Xenopus tropicalis: one gene and its partner. The protein of the gene in region 1 purifies or fractionates together with the protein of each later gene. This does not show direct contact. Links are inferred from orthologs where the notes say so. Each region holds a gene or a part of one and is shown on either strand. Other genes may lie near its edges.

Region 1 (4,445 bases):
CCCAAAAGTCTCTGTAAATGATTTGGCCAAATACTGAACTGAATCCTTATTTGCATGTGCAAATTAAGCTACGGAACAGTTAAATGAAGCGCGCGCTTAATTTTTTACTTCTGTGTTCATGTGATTTTACAGATTCTGCAGAATCTTGCCTGAATCCCAAACTGAATACTGGGTTCAGTGCATTCCAAGAGGCATCTAATGTGACTGTGTTCATACAGTGCCCAACTTGATTCTTGGATTGTAATCACCCTGTTCCACCTGAAGGGACTCAAATTCTGCTATTACGTTTCATGTTCTCCCAATTCATATTCACTCACCCAGTCTATATTATCAAGCCAGTGGTCCCGAATCTGAGCTTCTTTACGCAAAAAATAGTTGCCCTCAGAGTCAAAATGCCCTTCCTCCATTTCCTCCTTCAGGTTAAAAGGAGTAATCGGAACACCACCCTCCGACTCCAGAGTAGCGTTTTCTTGTCCTGCAGAGGAAGAAGAGCAAAGACAAATTTAAGACAAATTTAAGTCAAATTTAAGGGGCTGTTCCTGCTGAATTGTGCTTAGTACAGGGGAATCCCTATGCTGCTATAGTTTTATGGTATCTCTCTGTACTGGCTATGAGCAAACTTAGGGGGCTGTTCCTGCTGAATTGTGCTTAGTACAGGGGAATCCCTATGCTGCCATAGTTTTATGGCATCTCTCTGTACAGGCTATGAGCAAACTTAGGGGGCTGTTCCTGCTGAATTGTGCTTAGTACAGGGGAATCCCTATGCTGCCATAGTTTTATGGCATCTCTCTGTACAGGCTATGAGCAAACTTAGGGGGCTGTTCCTGCTGAATTGTGCTTAGTACAGGGGAATCCCTATGCTGCCATAGTTTTATGGTATCTCTCTGTACAGGCTATGAGCAAACTTAGGGGGCTGTTCCTGCTGAATTGTGCTTAGTACAGGGGAATCCCTATGCTGCCATAGTTTTATGGTATCTGTCAGCATAACATTTGCTTTGCTCATAGCCTGTACAAAGACTTTACTATAATATCCAGTATGAAGTAGTCCGCAAAATGGCCATGATCTTCTTTTGTAGATGACTGCCCCAAGCCACCCCCAGCTGATGGGTACTTACTGCAGCAGACACCCTGATATGACTTTAGGTGACTGGGAGTGGAGAGCCCATTGTGCCCAAGTTATGCTGAGCTGGAGGAAGTGCCATCTTTTGATAGGTTGCAGTAGAGTTTAAAATTGCAGTTCAGCCTATGGAATTACTGGCCTGCCTCCAGCTCAGCATAAGCAAAGCAAGCAGCACTGCTCCTGCAGCTCACTCCCTCATCATTACTGTGGGTACCAATACACTAGGGTGGCCTGGGGGCAACTTATGCATAGGATGTTTCAGTACCAGGTATCTTTAGCTACCCTCTCCCAAACATCCTTATATTATGCGTCCGCTTGTTTCTTGTAAAGGGGTTTATAATACTACAAGAGGCACAAAGCGGGCACCCTGCTATGGAATCTCACCTTCAACATCCTCGGGGGCTAATATGTCATACTTTGCAGAACGTCCATCACTGGTTTCTTCCTCATCATCTTCCTCATCGCTGTCCAGAGAATGTTTCCCTTTAAATCGACTTCCTGGGCCTCCCACTACATCCGGGAGCTTCAATAAAGGGGTGAGACCGTGTCAGACATGCACATTGGCTAATGCAGACCGTCTATATAATGGCGTCTTTATAAAGGTTACTGGGATCAGTTTGGAAAAAGAAAAGCGACATGGTGCAATTCGGCTCTGCTTCTTAACTTACCCTTTTTTTTTTCTGCTCATCATCGTCGTCTTCAGCCCCATCCACAAATGTGACCTTCCTTTTAGACATCCTATAGAAAAGGCAACAGGCACTATTAATAGGGATGCATTAAATACAGGATTTGGCCAGTGCCTGGCCAAACCGAATCCCTAAAGTCACATGACTTTTCATCGCATGATAGCGGAAAGGAGGAGTTCTCTTTAGCCCCTTTGTACCAGGATTCAGCGAATCTTTCACAAAAGAATTCAGGGTTCAACTGAATCCCAAAACAGTGGAGTCGGTGCATCCCTATGAAAGACTACAGGTATTGGACCTCTTATCTGGAAACCCATTAGAACAGAACAATCCTATTGGGTTTATTTAATGGTTAAATGATTCCCTTTTCTCTGTAATAATAAAACAGTACCTGTACTTGATCCCAACTAAGATATAATTACCCCTTATTGGGGGCAGAACAGCCCTATTGGGTTTATTTAATGGTTAAATGATTCCCTTTTCTCTGTAATAATAAAACAGTACCTGTACTTGATCCCAACTAAGATATAATTACCCCTTATTGGGGGCAGAACAGCCCTATTGGGTTTATTTCATGGTTAAATGATTCCTTTTTCTCTGTAATAATAAAACAGTACCTGTACTTGATCCCAACTAAGATATAATTACCCCTTATTGGGGCAGAACAGCCCTATTGGGTTTATTTAATGGTTAAATGATTCCCTTTTCTCTGTAATAATAAAACAGTACCTGTACTTGATCCCAACTAAGATATAATTACCCCTTATTGGGGCAGAACAGCCCTATTGGGTTTATGTCATGGTTAAATGATTCCCTTTTCTCTGTAATAATAAAACAGTACCTGTACTTGATCCCAACTAAGATATAATTACCCCTTATTGGGTTAAGAGACCCTGTGAGTAGAAGGGAACTTGTATACAAAATAAAGGGGGGGAAAGTCTAAAACCAGGAAAATGCAAGAAAACCGCTCGGTGTGAGGAAACATGAGGGGAAGAGAGATCCCTGCAGGTTCCTCAGTATAACCCTGTTTATAACATAAATAACGGAGAGGGGATTCGTATCAAACAGGCCCCGCCCCCAGGGCCGACCTGCCGTAAATAAGGGCCGGTGTTTTGCAACTTTAAAGGCCTCACAAGTTCCCAGATCCCCTTAGTTCTAGCGCAGCTCGGTAAGTATCCAACAAACCTTTCGTTTTTCGGAAGCACTCGTCGAGACGCGGGTGTCGCAGCCGGATGACGCGCAGGAAGTGATGAAGTCAAACCGGAAGTAGGGCAAATGAAGTTGTATCGCTTTGAAATATGACTGTATAGCTGCTGCAGGTCACAAAGTAGTCGTCTTGCAGGGGATGCTGGGACTTGTAGTTGTCACTGGTGCATCCCACTGACTTATTAATGCACAATTTAAGTTAAAGCACCAGTAATAACATTAAAAAATAATTGTCATTTATTGCCACTGGTTATTAAAATGGGATTGGGTTACAGGGCTTTTTCCTGATAGTTATAGGTTTTATAACCAGAGAGAGGTCATTTAGCCAGGAATGGAAGGGCCCCAGGAGAGAAAGTAAATACATTGTTGGTCGCTTTTATCAATGAATCAGACATGGTTACATACCTCCCAACATTTTGAAACTGAAAACAGGGACAAAAATAAACGCTGCGTGCAACCACACCCCCTAAATACCACTCCCATTTGACTAAATTTACTTATTACATTTGTTATTTATTATTATTATTAACATTTATTTATAAAGCGCCAACATATCCCGCAGCGCTGTACAATAAGTGGGTTTCATACATTGGGCATACAGAGTAACATATAAAGCAATCAGTAACCGATACAGGAGGGGAAGGGAGCCCTGCCCAAAAGAGCTTACAATCTACAAGGAGTAACATATAAAGCAATCAGTAACCGATACAGGAGGGGAAGAGGGCCCTGCCCAAAAGAGCTTACAATCTACAAGGAGTAACATATAAAGCAATCAGTAACCGATACAGGAGGGGAAGAGGGCCCTGCCCAAAAGAGCTTACAATCTACAAGGAGTAACATATAAAGCAATCAACCGATACAAGAGGGGAAGAGAGCCCTGCCCAAAAGAGCTTACAATCTACAAGGAGTAACATATAAAGCAATCAATAACCGATACAAGAGGGGAAGGGAGCCCTGCCCAAAAGAGCTTACACTCTACAAGGAGTAACATATAAAGCAATCAATAACCAATACAGGAGGGGAAGAGGGCCCTGCCCAAAAGAGCTTACACTCTACAAGGAGTAACATATAAAGCAATCAATAACCGATACAAGAGGTGAAGGGAGCCCTGCCCAAAAGAGCTTACACTCTACAAGGAGTAACATATAAAGCAATCAATAACCAATACAGGAGGGGAAGGGAGCCCTGCCCAAAAGAGCTTACAATCTACAAGGAGTAACATATACAGTGGTGTGAAAAACTATTTGCCCCCTTCCTGATTTCTTATTCTTTTGCATGTTTGTCACACAATATGTTTCTGATCATCAAACACATTTAACTATTAGTCAAAGATAACACAAGTAAACACAAAATGCAGTTTTTAAATGAGGGTTTTTATTATTTAGGGAGAAAAAAAATCCAAACCTCCATGGCCCTGTGTGAAAAAGTAATTGCCC
Region 2 (4,306 bases), on another chromosome or scaffold:
GCTGAACCTGAAAAATATCTATACATGAGTACATGAGGGGTAAATTCCAAGCATCTTTTGCAGTCCATGGATTCCCCAAAACACATCCATGTCTTCAGCAGTTGGAAAAAGGCTGGAAACTATGCTTTATTGTTTATTGGACCAGTGTTTTTTTTATGTCCTTATGACGTGGCTGTGTGTATATACTTTCCAAATCACTACCTTGAGGGGACAAAGGCTATTGGTCCAAGACCGCATCAATGTGCTAATGCTCTCCTCATCCACTTAGGGCCCCATACTTGTGCCCTATATTAAACCTAAGAACCTTTACCCTCAGTTATCTTAAAACCCACTAGAAAAATGACCCCCATTTCATTAACAATTGCCTAAAGCATCGGTTTTAAAGGAGACATATTGGATAAATGGGGAAAAACGCCTATTTTGTAGGCAATTATGAATAATATACGGTGCTGGTTTCCCTTTGGGCTAAAAATTAATCCTATCTGTAACAATGGCCCCTTTACTGGAGCTCCCTATAGATCCTCTCACTTCTCAGTCAAGTGTGAAATGAAGAGTGGGCGTGTCCTAACGGCCCCTGCCAGAGGCACAGTAGGAGGGGGAGAGCCAATCACAGCCCTGCACTCACACAAGCAAAGACAGGCTTCAGTTCCCTATCAGGTCAGCCTAGCTGCTGATTGGTTCCTATCCTACAGTGTGGCTCCCCAGCTCATCCAGAGAATTCAGCCAGCAGGAAGTGGAACAGATGGGCGGGGCTAGTGGGGTTTGGGGGAATTTCTCAATAAATCAGTTAGAAACACAACTTTTTTAAGCACAATCCTTCTATATCTAGAGGAGTATAATTTACTGGTACATTCATCATTTATATAGGATATGTCTCCTTTAAGTAATTGTTGCTTGAAATTTCGGTAGTCAGTGATTCTAAGCGATAGTTGTCTCATTTGTGGGACCAGCTAGATACCAATATAATGAACAAGAGGTGATTTCGAGTGTTTGCCCACCCACTTTATTGTAAAATTGCTCAGCGAATAAAACAACTCAAAAAAAAGCCTTACTGCCACTGTCATTAGGGTGTTCCTTAGATCTTATCTCATATTTTACATTCCGGTTTTATTCTGTACTGTATTATTGTATAAGCTTGATATCTAGGATAAACCCAACCTAATAAAACTGCTCAAGACTAAATGAAACATACCTAGCCTAGCCGAGGAGTCACTGTACGCACCACGGCATTTCGGGAAATTGAGTTTTTTCCCCCCCCTAGCGCGCAGCAGCATTTCGGGAAATGTAGTTTTACATACGTCACGACGCACGCTTCCTTCCGTGACGCGTTCCCAGAATGCCACGGAAATGCTCTAGCCAACATGGCGGCGGAATAGAAACGTTGTAGAGTGAGTTTATGGAGGTAAGTGGCCGAAGCTGAGAAGTTGGTATATCTGTTTGTGGTGAGTCGGAGTTAGCGGAGCAGGTGCGCTTACTGTGAGTCCGTGTATGAGAGCTGGCTTGTGTGCGTGTGTCTCTTGTATAGGGCCCTTTACACACTTCACTATGTGTTGCCTTACTGCTGCGTTTATTGCGATAGTCTACTCCAATACACAAATTGACCCGCCACAGCAACATGACGGAACCTGTATCACCATTCCTCGCTATGGAGGCGTATGGCGTTGAATCAGACTGTAGTATGAATACAGCCCTTTTTACCTTCTGTTTTCTAAGCCGCATTGGACTGAGGGCATGTGGGCTGCTAGGCTGCAGGAGGCTCTGCTTAAATAAATCTGTGTCTCTGTGCTTCCAACACTTGCCTCCAAGCCAGAAAAGTAAAAATGGGCACCTACTTTGAGGCTAATAGGAGCAACATGAAAAGGGGTAGTGAGCAACATGTTGCTGATGAGCCACTGGTTGGGCTATACGGGGTGCAATAGCAGTCTCCAGGGCAATGCAGTTTGTATTTTCACATTGCCTACATGTGGTCATAGGAGACTGTATGGGTTTGCTTCCAATATTTATGATTTTACAGCTTTGGCAACATGTCTTTAGGAAGTATGTTTGTAAGTATTATGAGAAACATTTTATTAAGGGCTAAGTCTGGAATTTGGTGGTGTGGTTTAGAGGATGCTTTCATTTGTGTTGCTTGATGATAATCTTTTCTGATTTACAGATCTGCTCACGTTCCATGTTGAGGCTCTAACAAAGAGACATTACCTGTATAAAAGTGATTAGGTGAAAGTAAGTGTTCAGGTTATTTTAATTTATATATACTGCATAAAATAATTGTTGATATTATTTGTTGAAGCTGCCAGCTAGTCTCTGCGGTGCACTGCATGTACCACAATCTGGCTTGACCTGTGCCTCTTCTTATTCCTGTTTGCTGACAGCCCTCAACAGTTAATTGAGGAACCATACAGTCTGTGGCCTCAAATCAAAACCTCAGACCTAGTTTGAAATAACCTATTTGATAAAGACACTTATCTAGAGATTCATTTGTCAATGCTGCTGATGAGCACCCAGTAGCCTCTATACTTTTTTACATTTATTTTGGCATGCTCTTTAGAGGATAAGAAAGGGGTTGTTACTGGTGAGTGCAAGTTTGTTAGTTAACATAATTACTTACCTTAGGCCCAGGGCTGGTGATCCTTTTGTTGAAAAACACATAGGGCCAGCATACTATTCCCTTGAGAACTATTTAATTTTTTTGTGTGTAATTTCTGAATTGTTAATGCCTTTCAATCATGTCTCACCATTGCTTGTGATTATGTACAGATGGCAGGAGAACTGACAGATAAAAGAGACCGTGATGGGTCTCCATCCAAGGAGCGTAAGCGCTCCCGTTCCAGATCAGCTGAGAGGGACCGCGATAGGAAATCATCACCCTCCAAAGACAGGAAAAGACATCGCTCTCGGGAAAGGAGAAGATCTCGAAGTCGTTCTCGTTCACGCTCCAAATCAAATGAAAGGTGAGTGACTGTGTAGAAATAGCAGTTTATAATTTAATAGCATTAGTTGTTGGTGATTCCTCTAAACATCAGGAATTTTGGAATTAAACAATGTTTGCATAAAAATTGTGTTTATAAAAAATGATGCAGTTTTAATGGCAGTGACAATAACCCCTTATAAGGCTAACCTGGTGATTGACCTGAACTTGCAGCCGTTAAAGCACTGACTTTAAAATGCTCACTGCTAAATCAAGAGATTATGCTGGCGGGGTCAGAGCTATCATAAGGTTAGTGTATGAAGGGGTATTTGTGGGCTCTTTATTGTCCACACACGAAAAATCGCGTTGGGTGGCAAAATGATAGGTTCTTTTATTACCTAAAAGTTGTTTCCTCCAACAGAGGTTGGTATTTTTGCCGATTCTATGTCACATGTACATAAAGCTCAAGCTGGGCATTTACTCATTATGCCCAGCAGTGTTGCCCGAACATAAGGGGATTTATATAAACATTACTTTTTCTAACTGGCAAGAGATACCTTGTTTTGTTTAAGGATAAAGAAACTACAAAATTCAGCTTTCATTTTTGCTTTATAAAACCTTTCCCATGGCCAGAGAACTTGCCAGATATGTAAATTCAGGTTTTTTTGGACCTAATTAGTTTTCTCTCCAGCACCCCCACACACAGTTCTAGTATGATGGCCAGTCACAGATTGCGTGGCAATAGCAAATAAGCTTAGGCATAGAAATTTGTACCTTTTATGGAGAAGGAAAGTGGTAAACATTTTTAGTTATTTTTTAAAAAAATCTCATGTAGATATAAACTAGTGTCAGGCCTTGTAGCATTCTGCCTACCAGTCTGTAGGGTTATATCATTGATTAATCTGCGAGGTAATACTTTCAAACAAATACATTGTGGTTGATGGGGCCTTATTCCTGTAGCAGCTGGCACAAAACAGAATAGGCATTGGACTGGACACACAGTATGCATATTTTAACAATCCATCCCCACAATCAATGCCATAGATCTCAACCTTTTTGCTTGTATTTAGGGTTAACTTTTTTTTTTTTTGCAATGCACTTTAATATGGTGCCATGTGACAGATGTTACTGTGGACAGTGTGTTTATTTACAAAGTAAACTGTAAACTGACATACTGTAAATTAATCTTGCGTTGCAAGTTATTTCATTGTGGGAATTTTGTAAGCATATAGCTAAATGTATATCATGCAATGAGTTATGATTACTTGCTTTTTTTTTTTTTACTTTTGCAGACTTTCAGAGCCTTTTCTAGCTGCATAAAAAGCACAGTGGTTATAGATAGGCTTGTGCTGAGACATAGATGTTAGCTTTGAAAAGACTAAATAGTCTTCAAATATG

The links.
Region 2: the proteins of cd2bp2 (region 1) and ddx23 purify together in Homo sapiens (affinity purification with mass spectrometry; 6 studies listed by BioGRID and IntAct, counting the BioPlex papers as one, with this or other methods). This does not show direct contact. The link is inferred for Xenopus tropicalis from reciprocal best matches to the Homo sapiens genes CD2BP2 and DDX23.

Annotation. Positions count from the first base shown.
Region 1 is NC_030685.2:13,551,555-13,555,999, forward strand, and holds the start of cd2bp2 (CD2 antigen cytoplasmic tail-binding protein 2), read right to left. Parts: upstream 3,038-4,445; 5' UTR 2,989-3,037; intron 2,973-2,988; exon of another isoform or gene 2,892-2,972; intron 1,859-2,891; 5' UTR 1,858-1,858; coding exon 1,789-1,857; intron 1,644-1,788; coding exon 1,505-1,643; intron 476-1,504; coding exon 318-475; intron 1-317. UniProt on the Homo sapiens protein: Involved in pre-mRNA splicing as component of the U5 snRNP complex that is involved in spliceosome assembly.
Region 2 is NC_030678.2:136,000,862-136,005,167, reverse strand, and holds the start of ddx23 (probable ATP-dependent RNA helicase DDX23), read left to right. Parts: upstream 1-1,277; 5' UTR 1,278-1,402; intron 1,403-2,155; 5' UTR 2,156-2,223; intron 2,224-2,757; coding exon 2,758-2,951; intron 2,952-4,306. UniProt on the Homo sapiens protein: Involved in pre-mRNA splicing and its phosphorylated form (by SRPK2) is required for spliceosomal B complex formation.